Nothobranchius furzeri: one gene and its partners. The protein of the gene in region 1 purifies or fractionates together with the protein of each later gene. This does not show direct contact. Links are inferred from orthologs where the notes say so. Each region holds a gene or a part of one and is shown in the gene's direction. Other genes may lie near its edges.

Region 1 (5,640 bases):
CAATGAACAACAATTTCTTCTTTTTTAAGACAAAAAGTGATTTATGAGACATTAGTGAGGGCATTATGACTGAGCTGCATTGTACTACTGGTTTGGCTGGGACACAAAGGACTCTTGCATACAATGTTAGTGTTGCATCATTGTTTTGTTTCATATGTCCCAAACATCATTTTCTGACACTGAATCAGTAACCTCATTTCCAGAAACATTTATGTTGAGAGCTGTGAGACAGCAGTGAGGTGTGAGACAGCAATGAGGTGTGACACAGGGAGGTGGGAGACAGTGAGGTGTGAGACAGCAGTGAGGTGTGAGACAGTGAGTTGTGAGACAGCAGTGAGGCAACACAGTGAGCTGTGAGACAGTGAGGTGTGAGACAGCTGTGAGGCAACACAGTGAGCTGTGAGAAAGTGGGGTGTGAGACAGCGAGGTGTGAGAAAGTAGGTGTGACAGTGAGGTGTGAGGCAGTGAGGTGTGAGACAGCAGTGAGCTGTGAGACAGTGAGGTGTGAGACAGCAGTGAGCTGTGAGACAGTGAGGTGTTTTTATTTTTCAAGCAAGGGAAGGGAATGATCTGAGCATACAGGAGGACTGACCCATCATAAACCTTTGTCGGCTGTGCTGAAGAGAAAGGTACAGAACCAAATTATTTTATTAATTAGCTGCGCGTTCTCCTGTCCTCTATCCTCGGGGCCACGCACACACACACACACACACACACACACACACACACACACACACACACACACACACACACACACACACACACACACACACACACACACACACACACACACACACACACACACACAAATGGGACTGTCTCAGCTGTTATTTTTGTTAAGGAGTGCACACGTACAGCATGCGCGCCTCGTGCATGAGCCTACTATTGAAGCTGACATTATGCTTTTGGCCTGAGGGGGCAATCGCGAGCATAAAAATTCAAAACTCTGTAAAGTCCCTTCAATAATAATCAAAATAAAGTTATTCAAAATAGTTTCATTAGGTCTTGAGTAAATTGCTCATAATTAATGATTCAGCTTATTTGCGCATTTGTAATGACTAAACATAATGTTGGTAAAATGCTTTATTAAAACTGCTATTATACATGTTGTACAAATTTGGTGTTCATTTTTTCACAATTAACACACTATTATCTACTGTGTTTGACCATACAGTTTTATTGAACTTTTCTTTTTAATTAGTAGCTATAGTAGCCAGATAAACTGGGTTATAGATGCATGCATGGACGTGATTTTGGGAGGGGAATGGGGGGACATGTCCCTGACATGTTCCCCCCACTTTTTCCAAAATCAAGTTTTGACCCCTGTACTTTTTACCATCCAAAAACAATATTACGCTATATTAAATTGACACTGGTTGAGCTCTAACACCAAGCGGAAAACAGCCGTTTGTGTTGAAACCTGTTTCCCATTACAGCATACTGTAAAGATCCCCCCCCCCGTGTCCCCCCCCCCCCACTTCTCAAGTGAAAATTACATCCATGGATGCATGTACTGTCTTCACATAAAAATATAAAGTAATGACTGTAAAATGTATTCTACTGAACATAATAGATCATCATTCAAAACATAAACAGCTACATATTTCTTCAAGGTAAGCTGGAGCAGAATTCTAGCTTTCAATAAACCACTTTAAAATGGATATTACAACTCGAGTTTAGGGCTTCTTGTAGGACTTAAAGTTATTAAATATGCTTTTAGTAGAGCAGTGTGTACACTACATCAAATTTATTTCTATAACATATTACAGTAATGTATGTGGTCTAAATGTGTTAGGACTGTTGTATTCCTGTAACGTAGAACAGTCAAGGGTGTCGGTCTTCCTACAAATGCTTGGAAAAATATAAATAGGCTCCTTTGTGAAGGAATTAGGACATAATATATAATCCATCCAACCATTGTCCGAACCCACTTTGTCCGGGGGGGGGGGGGGGGGGGGGGGGGGGCAATAGGCAATCAGGCGGTGGACACCCTGGACAGAGAGCCAGTCCATCGCAGTATATAATATAATATATATAATATTATATATTATTATATTATTATATAATACTGTATATCAAATACAGGCCATATTCAATAATTACCTAAAATCACCAGGGGCAATGTGACTATATTCAGTTTTTGTGATTTGCCCACCGTACACCGTTCAAACTGACGTACGGCGCTGGGATGTTTGGAACTATTGAGAGCTCCCTGAACCACGTGGCCGCAGTGTCGCAACTCTGGCTCTAATTTCACAACAGGAAACGGAACGAGACGTAACATCCGGTCCGACCGCGCGATCCGAAAATGGCGGCCGTGGCGGAGAAATCAACGAAAGAAAGACTTTTGTCTGTGTTGGACGACTTGGAGGTTTTATCACGGTAAAATTAAAAATAATTAGAACGTTCTTGTTTATTTATTTAATATTTTAAGCTGATGTCATTTTATTATCGATCACGTTATTCAGCTGTTGGCATCGGTTCCGATCTAGAGTTCCTGGTGATTACTCTGAAAGTAAAAGATGGTTCAGTGTTTCTGGGTCTTTTGCAACCTTTATTATAACGGGCAACATATAACCCTTCTCTTTATGTGTGTGTGTGTGTCTGTCTGTCTGTCTGTGTATTTTCAGGGAGTTGATCGAGATGTTGGCTCTGTCCAGATCTCAGAAGCTACCTCAGCCCGGAGACGACACGCAGGTAACGGTCAGGAGCAGGTCTGGAGTCAGATCCAAGGCTGTTGGATTACACTCTCGATGCTTTATAACTTTGACACAGAGCTGCTACGTAGTACTCTACTGGTTTACGTAGTATCTTTCTCTTCAGCCATTGGCTAAAGTGTATTCAAAATGTCTCAAACTCTATGTTTTAAGCTGAAGGTGGCGCTATACTGTGGTATTTAGGCAGAATTTTTAAGTTTTAAAGAAAATGCACCAAAATGCTAAAATAATGAATACACACATTTAAAACACTATTAGACACTCATTTATACAGTTCATCAGCAAAAAAAAAAGTCAGCAAAAAAAAAGTTAATTTAGACGATACTTGCTCTTTAAATATCAGAGTCCAGCAGTTACAGATACATTTCTGTGTTGATTAGAACACGGGCAGAGCCTAAGCTCAGTTTACGTGCTCAATCCTGAATGTTTCCCGTATTTCGGGGAATATTTAATTTTCTTTAATTCCATCTCTGTGGTGCTATGGCAACATATTATGTTGAAAATTGGAACAAAACCGGTTCCATAGCATTTATGTCCTGTTTGATCTGATCATAAATAGTTCATCATACACCACTCCTATGTAGGGTTGTCACGGTGTGAAAATTTAACCTCACGGTTATTGTGACCAAAATTATCACGGTTTTCGGTATTATCGCGGTATTTTTTTAAACGTGCTACATTTTCAGACAACTAAATAAACCCTGTATGTCAGGAAATATTGTCCTCAGTTTGTGTCTAAATTTTGTCTAAAATGTGTTATTGTGTAATTATGTTGTTTATTTGTTTACATTTTTCCTCTTTAGTCTTTAAAGTATCAATATTTGCCCATAACTTCTTATTTGTTGTCTGTTTGATGTCATTATTTAAAAAATATTAGATCAGATGATACTCAGCACTCAAGTAGCCTTCTAATCAGATATTTTTTACCCTTACTTGAGTAATAAACCCTATATCAGGAAAATATTGTCCTCAGTTTGTGTCCTTCCAGTGAGCTTTGCAGATGTGGGAAAATGTCATCAAGCAGTAATCATTGTTAAATTCATAATTATTCTCGGAGAGAGACCAACTCTTATCTGTCCCTGGGAGCCCCGTAATGCATAGCGTCATTTCAACATGGGGGTGTCCGCGTCGACACGGTTTATATGCAGGTAGCGGCGCTGCGGCTGCTTTATATAGCGACTCGTTGCATTCTCCCTCAACCCAAATCCTCGGATCACACATTTTAGCTAAAACGCTAACGTTAGCTTGCCTTGCGTTGACTGTAGAGTTGTGGGTGATGGTCACGCAGATGTGTCATGAGATTTGAAGCGTTGCTGCCTTTCACAGACACTTTTTCTGCACGTGCTGCAAACAGGATAGTCGTCTTCTATCAACTCCCTCGGCATTCTTCAAATATCCAAAAGATGCCCGTACTTCCCCCTTTGTCTTCTTTGAGGGATAATAAATGTCCTGAGCGCTGCCGTCTCCTCCTTTGGCCATTATTTCAGCTTTAGCTTCAAGAAAGTTTTGGTTGTAAACAACAAAGCGCGCATGTGCCGCCGGCAACTTCAGCAGATGATACGGTGGCTGGTAAGGGTCACCGCAGCCACTGTAATCACCGAGATAATATAGTTTTTTTAAAAACAAGGCGGTTATTATTATTGTCAACTTTTTTCCCCAGAGTTCACTGCTACACCGGTTACCATGACAACCCTACTTCTATGTAAAGTATTTTAATATAAGTTTCAGTGGGTGCGCTGGCAGAAAGTCTTACCCTCCAGTCAGAACCTAAAACAACACCAGTAGGCAGAAATGATCAAAAATACCCGTTATTAGCACAACTGAATAATAAAACACCACGGGCGAGTTCCGCTGTGGAACTCGTCGGCTACTGCCTCTTGTCCCTTTAAGACAAAACCAGCTGTTCAGCATAAGTAAAATCAAACAATCAGGTACTTAGCTGGCCCAGTCGATGCGACCCCCTCCCCGGGGTCTGAGCTTCCAACACCGTCCAACGCCCCGGGGTTCAGCTTGCGTGGACGGCAGGTGAGTCCATGGCTCGGGTCCGGCTGCCAGAGTTTGCTGTGGCAGATGTCGGCGTGGTCTCGGCACCCAAATACTCCCAGCCCTCGCTACCTAAAGAAGGCGTCAAGCCTCCCGTCCTAGCACTGGAACACTGCCCACCTACTCAGCTGTCTTCATCGCCGGCAGTCCTAACCAACTGCGAACGATCCCACCCCCCAGAACCGGGTGTCACAATGACAGGTCGACCATACACACACACACCTTGGTAGATCTGCCACCCTTTTATCATCTCCGGCCTCATCACACCTGACAAGCACCAGCCGGCGTCTAGTTGCCACGCCCCCAGAATCTGGCAAATCCCATCTTCTGCCTTTCACAGTATGTTCAGGTACCCTCAGGAGACACTTTTTACTTCTCCGTGCAGATTTGATGTTATATTCCTCATAATGAGATGATGTTTGATTTCTGTATTGGTTTTATTTGACGTTGTTGTATTTTTGGCATTTTTTTTCTGCTGCCTTTTCATTTTTGAGTGTTTACATTTCAACTACTACCTATTATTGTTATTGTTGGAATCACTTTTCCTGGAAGATCTGAGGTACACTGGTGTCTATAATGATGCAGCAAAGTCTGCTGATTAGACATGCCATGGCTGTTAACTGGTTATCCTTTGAATATGAATTTGGATGTAACATTTGCAATCTGTTTTTCCCATCTAGATCATTGATCTGCTGGTGCAGAGGGACACGGAGTTCCAGGAGCTGATGGAGGTGGCCCAGCAGCAGGGGAAGGTTCACCAGGAGATGCAGCTGCTGGAGAAGGAGGTGGAGAAAAGAGACAGCGACATCCAGCAGCTCCAGAAGCAGCTGAAGGAGGCCGAACACATACTAGTAGGTTTGTTGTAGGAATTGCAATGCGG
Region 2 (5,634 bases), on another chromosome or scaffold:
TCAACCCTCCCTTCCCATTCTCCTGTGTGTGTGTGAAGGCAGCAGGAGGTTCCGACCCATCTGATAGGTGGAGCCCTCAACCAATCAGAGGCGATGGGAGGGGACTTCCCATGTAATCAGAAATGTGACCGGGCTCCCTCCAACAGCAGAACTTTGGGTCGGCACTAACAAAATGGATAAAGGTGTCTGGACCGTCATGGGACCCTGTTTGTGTTCCCAAGAAGCGAACCGGATCAGTCTTTAGTTCCGTTTTCCTCCGGACACCCACCTGTTTCCCTCATTATAACCGGATCCGTTATCTGGCGCCTCCGGTGGCTGCGGCAGCCGGGCGGGGGCCACATGCTCCTCAGACCCCCAGCGGAGTGGCGCAGAGTAAAATCGCTGCATTCTCCGGAGATCAGCAGAATTTCCATCGTGTCTGTCGTATTAAACCCAGAGAACCGCATCACGAGAAACTGGGCCTCACCATCGGTCCCGCTAACAAAACACTCCAAGCCCACCCCACTTCTACAGCTAAGCTAATACAACACTTACAAACCGCACCCGGGACCGTCCAGCGAGACAGAACAGAGGGTTTCTACCTTCTGTTCCCGAAGCAGCCGTGTGCAGGCCAGCCTGCTGCCCGGTTGTAGCTGACGGGTCCAGCAGCAGCACGATCGCTGTACTGGTCACAGCCCACAGCCTCAGAATGAATGACTCAGCTCAACAGAGCCACACTTTAAAAGGGGAGGAGGCCATTTTCGCTCACGTTGCTAGCCAGATTGGTGGGTGACGGCTAGGCCACAGACAGGTTCGCTAAGCTGCTGAGGGGAAACCAACAGGAAAACAACATTTCTGAACGCTTATTTGGTTATTTAACACTAAACCGCGAAGCCATGATGGACTCAGCCGCTGTTACCGCGAAATTACGCTCGCATGCACGGAAAGACATGAACTCAACCCAGTAGGACTCAAACCTTGGGATGGTGCGGAGGTCCCCGGTCCCCTTGGTCTCATCCTGCCGAGAGAACCACACCTCCAACAGCTTCTCGGTCCCTTCGAAGAAATGTGCACCGTTTTCCTCCATCATGAGACAACAGACGCCCAACAAAAAGGTGTAAACGTTGTTCGCAACGTTTGTATGTTAATAAATCCTTTCTCGATTGACTATAATTTATTGAGGTACAGTCATTAAAGTAATTCTGATGTTAATTTTCTTAAGTTACCGCGTTCCCTTTTGCAGAGAATACAGTTAGCGAGCGCTAGCTAATATCGCCGGCCATACTGTGTAAGCACCGAACGAGCCGCGGACAGCTCTTTTATAGCCTCAAGACTTACGTCACAGTGGATTGACCAATCCGCTTGTATGAGTAGAGGTTGTCCATTGTGATTTGTTGAGGAACCTTCCAATCGCACTGGAGACTGATTTTCCTCACGTGCCATTTTATTGCCACAAGAAAATAAACGTGGTAGGACCGTGTAAACAGGACAGAAAGCGAATTAACTTCATATAATGTTAACACACGTGTTTGCATCGTTAAATGCTGTTATTGTGAGTTATTTGGTTTTCATAGCTTGGACAAAATAATTAAAAATAGTTATTTATATCCCCCAAAAGACAACGTGGTCTGGGACAGCAGCAGTGTGTTTCCAAAATGTATGTTCTAAAAATGACCTGGAGATATGATCACAGGCTATGTTGTTGAACCGCTCACCTCGGGAACAAAAGCGTCCAACACAGAAGTCTGGACCACTAGCGAGCCGAGCACTCATGCGGACCCGTAGGGAGCGGGAAACGCGGGTTGTAGTTTTTCTCATTCTAGTTTCACAGCTAGTGAGTCGCGACGAGAGCTCAGAAGACTCCATTACCCAGCAAGCACTGCGCCCCAATTAGAAGCGTCAACGATCCAGTGAACACAGCGGAGCAGACCAAAATCCCAAACAAGGAAATGGTGGGGGAATAAAACGAGCAGATTATTTAATTAATGCGTGTAATAATTAATATTTTATTTTGTTGTAATTTAAGTCGTCTTTATGGGTTAACATGGATTACGACTTCAAAACAAAGCTGGCAGCCGAGCGGGAGAGAGTAGAAGATCTGTTCGAATATGAAGGTTGCAAAGTGGGTCGAGGCACCTACGGACACGTTTATAAAGCTAAGCGCAAAGACAGGTAAGACCACCGAGGTCCGGTTCCGTTCGCCCTGCCGGTCTCACGGTGCGTTTGGGTTCACACGGGCCGCGCTGGTGTTGGACGGGCGGCAGACCGAACCTTCCAGAGTGTGTCTGTGTTTTTGTTTTCATCTAACACACACACACACACACACACACACACACACACACACACACACACACACACACACACACACACACACACACACACACACACACACACACACACACACACACACACACACACACACACACACACACACACACACACACACACACACCTCTAGCCGCGCTCCTGTCCCAACACGTTTCACCAGAGATGTTTGTGTTCTGACGTTAGCTCTGTGTCTGTTCACCGGACCGCGGTGTCCCTGCTTACAAAACGGCGGGATTCCTCCGGTTTGACCGTAGACAGGTTGTGTCCCTGTGGCTTCTGTCCCTGGGACAGGACCTGTGTGTCCCTGTCTGCTGGCCCGGCCGCTGAGGGACCTGCTCTGTTATCAGTCCCGGTGAATGTTCGTGTGCCAAAGCTCTACTCCGATCTGCATAAAAGCAAAATATCATTTCCAGCTGGTGGGGGGGGGGGGGGATAACACGTCTCACCTTTATGTTAATATTGTTTTATTTGATGCCCTCCACTCTGAACTGCACCAATCCAGCAACTGCTGCATTTTAATAACTAGTATTAAAGGTGAATACACCAATATTTGCACAAGAATAATTTTAGTTTTAAACTCTCAGTGACACACTTTGCAGGGGGAGGGGGGGTGGCATTTAATTTTTCGTCTGGAAAAACATCTCCTTCTGCCCCCTTTATTTTGGTCCAAGACCATTACTGGGCTGGCCCTATTAAACACCTTCTACACCCCTGCTTAGTAGACTTAATGAAGTATTTTTAAGCCAGTATAAAAATGACTGAAACACAAATTTACATATTTGGCATTATTGACCAATATCTTTGATTTAATTTATTTGTTGAGAACATCAAGATGCATTACAGTGAACATTATAATAAAGTACATGTTTCTAGTGCAGAGAGGAGACAACCCATAGAAGCACTGGTCTGATCTCATTTCAGAGAAAACTAGAACAGGTCAGATGCACCTAATAAATAAAATTACTAACGTAAACTCAGGAATCTTGTTTCTTTGCTTCATTGTTCTGGTGCTGGAAACATCACTAATGCGGATCAAAGGAGACACACAGATGAATGCACCTCTTATTTATTATTTGGAAATTAGTGGGTGTTGTTTACATCAATACATTATTTTAAATCTGAAATTGATATGGATTGATCAGAAGTTGCTATGTGTGTATTGTTTATCTGAAAACTATTTACAGAGCAGCCTCAGAACTGAGATTAAATATGTTTGATCACAATAGTAAAGAAACTGTTACAGAACAAGTTTTTCAGTAAAATCAGAACATTATTTATTTATTTATTTATTTATTTAACTTATGTTTTTTCAGGAGGATAAACTGCTTGAGATGTAACATCTCGTTTTCGAGCAGGTCCTCCTACAACACAACCAATAACAAATAAGGTGGCAGAGTTAGAAAGTTGTAACAGAAATAAAAAAAAAAAAGGGGAAAGTAAATAATAGTAAAATCAACGATATGTATAAATGTATATATATACACACGTAAATATAAACACATAAGCAAGGATACATAGATACCAACAAGTGTACATACGTACATACATACCTATATACCAAATTAAATTAAATAAAACTGCTGTGAGGCACTAAAAGAGAAATAAGGGCAAGAAATTACATTATAAATAAATCTAAAGTGAAGTAGTATCCCAATTGAATACAAAGTTTGGCAACGAAATACAGCATGTTAGCCATTGAATGCACAAAATCATCATAGTAAAGATTAAACAAAGCAACTACAGCTTGGCTTTACATAAGCATAAACAGTGCGGGAAAATTTACGAATTGTTGAGATGGATCTTAATTCAGCGGGTAATTTATTCCAGTCCTGAGGAGCTTTAACACAAAAGGCGAGTCTACCCACCTCCTTTTTAAAACGAGGAACAACAAATGATGGAAGAGTAGTTAAGCGGGTTGAATACAAGGAATCAATGGGAACCAAAAGTGTTTTTAGATAAAGTGGAAAATCAAAATAAATGCACTTAAACATAAATATCAACCAATGAAATTGTCGTCTAGCTTTTAAAGGAAGCCAACCAAGAAGATCATACATATAACAATGATGAGTGTTAAATGAACACCGCAAAATAAAACGACACAAACTGTTATAGACGACATCAAGAGACCGCAGGCTAGAAACTGTTGAGTTTTGGTATAAAATATCAGAATAATCAATGATCGGTAACAGAAGCTGAGTGACGATGCACTTTCGAACAATAGGTTCAAAGCAATTTATTGAGTTATAAAGGATACGTAAACACCGTGTGACCTTAAGACATGTTGTGTGAATGTGAAATTTAAAAGACAGCTCTGGCTCTAGCCAAACTCCTAAATATTTCATTTTAACAGACGGTTGAACCGGGGAGGAATCCAAAAAATAAAGATTAAGAGTCCTGTCACTGTCAGATAGAGTTCTACTTCTGTGAAACAGCATGGAGTAAGTCTTAGATTTATTTAAAAGAAGTTTGTTCTGCATTAGCCAGAGCTGCACCTTGTCAAAATTAGGCTGAATAGCTTCTTGTAATTCGGATTAACTCGACTTAGAACAGTATAAGACTGTGTCATCTGCATATAACTGAACAGAACAGGATCTGCAGCACTGTGGTAAATCATTAATAAAAATTGAAAATAATAATGGCCCAAGTGAGGAGCCTTGGGGAACACCTCTGATGACACCACGCATGTTTGATTCAGAACCATTAAAGGAAACAAATTGAGAACGATGATGAAGAAAAGAACTAAACCACAGTAGAGACGGCCTTGACAGACCAAAAGCATATAATTTATCTAAAAGTAGATAGTGATTGACGAGGTCAAAGGCTTTTGTTAAATCAAGAAAAATCGCACCACCAAATAAATTATTGTCAAAACCAGAATAGATGTCATTAGAAAATTTGAGCAGTGCAGTAGTTGTCGAGAAGTTTTTTCTGAACCCCGATTGGTACTGTGATAGTAGGTTGTTATCCTCTAAGTATTTAGATAGTTGGATAAAAACCAGTTTTTCAAATACTTTAACAACTGTATTAATTATAGCAATGGGTCTATAGTTATTAGGTTCAGATGTATCATTTCCTTTATGCAGTGGTATTATTTTAGTACATTTCCAAGCTTTTGGAACAGAACATGAGTTAATTGAATGATTAAAAAGAATAGATAATGGTAAGGCTAGAACATCAGCAGCTATCCTAACAAAGCGACTCTCAATGCCATCTGGACCTGCAGCATTCCCACTAGAGAGAGACAGTATAACTTTACGCACTTCCTCAGAACGAATTTCAGAAAAAGAAAATCCACTGGAGCAACAGTGAGGCAGGGTGTAAGACCCA
Region 3 (5,086 bases), on another chromosome or scaffold:
GTCTCTGCCCCCTCCTCAGGCCGGTAATATCCCGACAGCAGCCCCCTGGCTGGGCTCTCCTCGCCCCACAGAATGCTACCCCTCCACCATGGTCCACCTTTACCTGTGGAGCCCCCCATTACCGGGAAGCTCCCTGGCACACACACCTTTCCTCCGATGTGTTCCTGAGAGATCAACTGAACCTGGGTAAAAAAAGTCCCGACAGAGGAAACATATACGCTCGGTATTTGCTGGCAGAGCTCCATCTCCCCGGGGCTCTGACAGTCCCGCAGAGACGCAGCGGACCTGCTGACCCATGACTCCAGCAGGCCGGTTGCCCCCTCGTGCTGACACTGCAGGTGGGTCAGGTGAGCAGGTGCGGACTGGCTGAGGGGCATCATGCCATTTAACTGTCTTAAAGTCTCACTTTCTTCACTCATCAAGCTGCTTCTGAGCTCCGCCGGAGCGATGTTCCACTGGCGGAGTTTCCGCCGCAGCAACAGCGCGGGCCTTGACAGCAGACGGATCCACGAGCTGTCCTGGCTATCCTGTCCGACCGATGTGACCGCGGGGCCGGGTGGGTGGGACGAGCGTTTTCCTCCACACGTACATTCTTCGGCGTTTATGTTTCTGAACATTTTATCTACTTAAAGTGCACAAATGAATTTCCCTGAAACAGCAGCGGTTTTAGCAAGTTACACTGACAGCTGTCAAACCTCACTAGAACATGTTAAAGTGGCCGCCAGGAACCCAAAAGATAACGTCCATAAGCCCGGAGCCGGCGACATTCCGCTGAGAGTGGTGGTTAGACTTCCTCCGTGTGGTACCGGAGCTGGAAAACTGAGCCGAGCTGAACATGCTAGAGCCGTGAAACGATGATAAGTCCCAATGTGAAGCGGAAAAACGAGCCATCCTGTCGGGGCTTATCGCGGGTGGGAGGTTCTGCTGGGTTAGCAGGTTAGCTTAGCACGAGAAGCAAACGGCGGTTAGTTTACTTCCCAGCGACGACTTAAAATTATCGATTTAAATTCCGCTTTCTGGTTGGTTTCGTCGACTGTTGATGGAAGGGAGTTCTTCCCACCGGTAATACTGCCCGGTATCCGTTCAGAGAGGAGTTTTGGCCCCCGCACAACTCCGTGAGTCTGTCTATATGGCTGCAGTGGGAGATTTCATCAGAAAGTCAGAAGACCATCAGCAGAAGCCCCGCGTCTTCCTTTTCCGGGTAAACGGCAGACGGTTGGCGGCGCGGCACGGAGCGGCACGAACGCGCGGCAGAAGCGGAGGCGCGGAAAGTTTCTCCAGTTCTTTTTCAGAGGGAGCCATTTTTTATTTTACTCTCGATGCACTCCTACACGAATCTCATTAATATAAAGTAATTATTTATGCTATAGGAGGAAAAAATAGGACATGGCGTCACACGCTGTAAAGGTATAGCTCCTCTGAGTCATGGGTGCATTGAGGAGACCAGATGGTAACACCACCTTAAGGTGACATCTGGTACCATCAGGGGTGCCATGGGCAGCGTTTTGGCTAATCACCTGGTAAATTGCAGAAAAGCAGAGAGTGACACTGAAACGTGTGTTTCTGGTTAAAATGAACTGTGTTTGATGTATTTTGTTCAGGTCCTAGCTTTTATTAAACAAAAAAATGCTGCAAATTTTACATGAACCGTGTTTAGGTCAAACATGTATTATCCTAATATTGTGAAAGTAAACATTTTCTACGTGCTGCAAATTTCTATTATTGATTTAAATATGCAGTTTCGCTTATCGTGCTGCAGGTGGCGGTAATGCCACACAAAGCTGATTTCCTAACAGTCTTTAAACCAGACAAAGAAAGCTGAGCGGAAGTATCCTAGTGGTTCGGTTCGGGGTTCTTTGCTCCAGCACAAACATGAACGCACCTCCAGCCTTCGAGTCGTTTCTGCTCTTTGAAGGAGAGAAAAAGATCGGCATCAGTAAAGATACCAAGGTCCCGAACGCGTGTTTGTTCACTCTGAACAAGGAAGACCACACACTGGGGAACATCATCCGAGCGTAAGACACACACACACACACACACTCTGAGGAACATCATCCGAGCGTAAAACACACACACACATACACACACACACTGAGGAACATCATCCGAGCGTAAAACACACACACACACAGGGGAACATCATCTGAGCGTAAGACACACACACACACACACACACACACACACACACACACACACACACACACACACACACACACACGCACGCACGCACACACACACACACACACACACACAGGGGAACATCATCCGGGCGTAAGACACGCACACACACACACACACACACACACACACTGGGGAACATCATCCGGGCGTAAGACACACGCACTGGGGAACATCATCTGGGCGTAAGACACACACACACTGGGGCACATCATCTGGACGTAAAACACACACACACACACACTGGAGAACATCATCTGAGCTCAAGGACACAATTTGATATTGGAAAGAAAAAAAAACCTGACAGCAGCCGGCCTTCGCCTGTGGGAGGAGCTCTGACACAGGTGTCCTGTCTGGTGGCCCCTAATTGTGTGTTTTTGTGTGTCAGTCAGCTGCTGAAGGATCCTCAGGTTCTGTTCGCGGGTTACAAAGTTCCTCATCCTCTTGAGCACAAGATCGTCATCCGAGTGCAGACCACACCTGACTACAGTCCACAGGTAACCCATCAGGTCTTCAACACCAAATAAAGTAAAGATGGCTGTAGGGACTTCACCAGAGAAGTGAAGGAATGTGTGCATGCATATATATATATATATATATTTTTTTTTTTATATATATATTTTATTTAGGGTCCGTCGTATTGTCGAACCTCAGATTCAGGAGGACGAATGTGGTTTTCATCCTGATCGTGGAACACTGGGCCAGCTTTGTACCCTTAGGGGGGTCCTGGAGGGTGCGTTAGAGTTCACCCAGCCAATCTAAATGTGTTTGTGGATTTGGAGAAGGTGTTCGACTGTGTTCCTCAGGGGGCCCTGTGGGGGGTAGTCCAGGAGCATGGGGTACCAGGCCCTCTGACACGGGCTGTTAGGTCCCTGTATGACCGGTGTCGGAGCTTTGGTCCGCATTGCCGGCAGGACGCAAACCAACAGGAGTCAAGATGGTGTAAGCTGTGTTCTTAAACAAGATCATTTCTCATTGGTTTAGATAGAGGGGTTGGGGCATAAAACCTCTACTGGAGCCAGCCTCTGGAGGCTTTTCAGATCTTTCAGCTTCAACTTCTGCACTGTCCTCCAGCTGGTCTTTATACATGTTGGTGGTCTAAGCCTCATGATGCTGTTGGACCCAAGTGGGTCTGGATTTGTTTCTCATATGTTTTGTGTCTTGATTGGTTGAGACACAATAATGATAGAAATTGGAAACCTAACCAAATGTGATGTCATTTCCTCCACAGGAAGCATTCACCAATGCCATCACAGATCTGATCAGTGAGCTGTCTCTGCTGGAAGAACGCTTCAGAGTTGCCATCAAAGACAAACAGGAAGGCATCGAGTGACCCTGACCTCTGACCTCACCTCATTTTGTTGTTTTGTTTTTCTAAATAAACTTAAGATGTCAGATTCTGTGTTTAGTCAATACCTTTTACAAGTATTTCGACAAAATTGCCAAACACTATTAAAAATAGGGTTTGGAACTAGATCTGATCCCACTCAGATGTCCAAAGGAACAGCTGGTATGGAAATCTTCACCTGTTAATTCTAGCATTGATCAGCTGATCTTCAGGAAGTGATGTCACCTCTAAGAATTTAAACTATATCAAACAAAACAAAATAGTTGTCAATCAGATTTAATTGAATATTCTTTTAAAAGAAAAGCAGTAAAAAATAAAAAAAATCTGATTTTGTGATGTCACATGCCGTGTGGCCCCTGATCATGTGACCATCAGGGGTCAGAGTCTCTCTGAGCCTCCATGGCTCGCTGCATCTTCTCCACCATCCACGGAGGAACGGAGAACGGCTTCAACTCGTCCATCCTGACATCCGGACAGTCCCTAAAAGGGATGCAAGTTACCACGGCAACCACACACATCTCACCAGCTATCAACTACATCATCAGAACAACAAATGCTAGAATAAGGTCAATAAAACTGGTAGCTGGTTCTGTTCTAGTGATTAAACTGTTTTCTGCAGCTGGATCCAGAAGTTTGTGTTTCAGGTTGGATACTAACTTGTACTCATCGCTGTGAGACAAATCCTGGATGTCCTCTTCAATCAGAAGGTAAGCCTGCCGGTATGCACACACACACACACAATTGTTAAATAGGTTTTAAACTACCCATGATGCACTGCCACACAAACTTCATCTGATGACTGATTCAGGCGATCACCTGCAGTGATCAGGTCAGCAGCTAAAAGTGGGTGTGGCCATTTGACTGACGTGCGTGTGCAGATTCTCACCATCTTTCCTCCTGTTGCCCTCATGTGATGTCTCTCTGCCAACCACTGCTTATCCTTAGAATCTGCTGCATACTGAAACACACACACTTTTTTTTTTTTACTAATCACAGGAAACAGTCCCCTGACCCTTACTAGGTCCAGCAGACACCTGATGTCAGGAGTTACCTTGAACAGGTCAGCGTGTTTAATATAGATCCGTCCTCTGGTCCCACCCATCCCTAGTGCCCTGTGATGACATCACAGCAGCTGATGACTCACTTCTTTTGAGGCTGTTTGTGTTTGAGCATCAAAAGCATTTTGATCATATATGGAGTCATTAAAGATACTGAAACCTTTACCCGTCTGTTCAATTCCCTTGTCTGGGATGTGAACCTTTGCATGCATTACATTCTGTTTATCTTGTATTTATGTGAAAATAAGAATTTAACTTGGTGATGACTCACTTGTTGGCTCTGGACCCGAGAACAAATGTGCTGCCGTCGGTGAGTCTGGACGGATCCCACTGAAACAGATCATTCAGGTTTAGCACTAAAACTCACCTGTCTGCAGAGGACAGGTGGATTCAGGAAAAAGTGAATAAACATCAGTATCATCTTTTCTCAGCTGGTAATCCCTGAGCAGCTTTGATATTTGCAGCTGACTTAACCTGTACAAGGTGGTGAAACGGTGACACT

What was found.
Region 2: the proteins of med4 (region 1) and cdk19 purify together in Homo sapiens (affinity purification with mass spectrometry; 7 studies listed by BioGRID and IntAct, counting the BioPlex papers as one, with this or other methods). This does not show direct contact. The link is inferred for Nothobranchius furzeri from reciprocal best matches to the Homo sapiens genes MED4 and CDK19.
Region 3: the proteins of med4 (region 1) and polr2j purify together in Homo sapiens (affinity purification with mass spectrometry; 3 studies listed by BioGRID and IntAct, with this or other methods). This does not show direct contact. The link is inferred for Nothobranchius furzeri from reciprocal best matches to the Homo sapiens genes MED4 and POLR2J.

Annotation. Positions count from the first base shown.
Region 1 is NC_091754.1:35,365,120-35,370,759, forward strand, and holds the start of med4 (mediator of RNA polymerase II transcription subunit 4), read left to right. Parts: upstream 1-2,241; 5' UTR 2,242-2,308; coding exon 2,309-2,382; intron 2,383-2,630; coding exon 2,631-2,697; intron 2,698-5,440; coding exon 5,441-5,611; intron 5,612-5,640. UniProt on the Homo sapiens protein: Component of the Mediator complex, a coactivator involved in the regulated transcription of nearly all RNA polymerase II-dependent genes.
Region 2 is NC_091742.1:28,595,519-28,601,152, reverse strand, and holds the start of cdk19 (cyclin-dependent kinase 19), read left to right. Parts: upstream 1-1,821; 5' UTR 1,822-1,928; coding exon 1,929-1,931; intron 1,932-2,005; coding exon 2,006-2,151; intron 2,152-5,634. Other genes in the region: amd1 (S-adenosylmethionine decarboxylase proenzyme), read right to left, coding at 957-1,069.
Region 3 is NC_091743.1:77,207,181-77,212,266, reverse strand, and holds polr2j (DNA-directed RNA polymerase II subunit RPB11-a), read left to right. Parts: upstream 1-1,654; 5' UTR 1,655-1,872; coding exon 1,873-2,015; intron 2,016-2,566; coding exon 2,567-2,675; intron 2,676-3,409; coding exon 3,410-3,511; 3' UTR 3,512-3,573; downstream 3,574-5,086. Other genes in the region: protein phosphatase 1 regulatory subunit 15B, read right to left, coding at 1-617; deoxynucleotidyltransferase terminal-interacting protein 1, read right to left, coding at 3,898-4,006, 4,184-4,239, 4,413-4,484, 4,578-4,638, 4,856-4,914. UniProt on the Homo sapiens protein: Core component of RNA polymerase II (Pol II), a DNA-dependent RNA polymerase which synthesizes mRNA precursors and many functional non-coding RNAs using the four ribonucleoside triphosphates as substrates.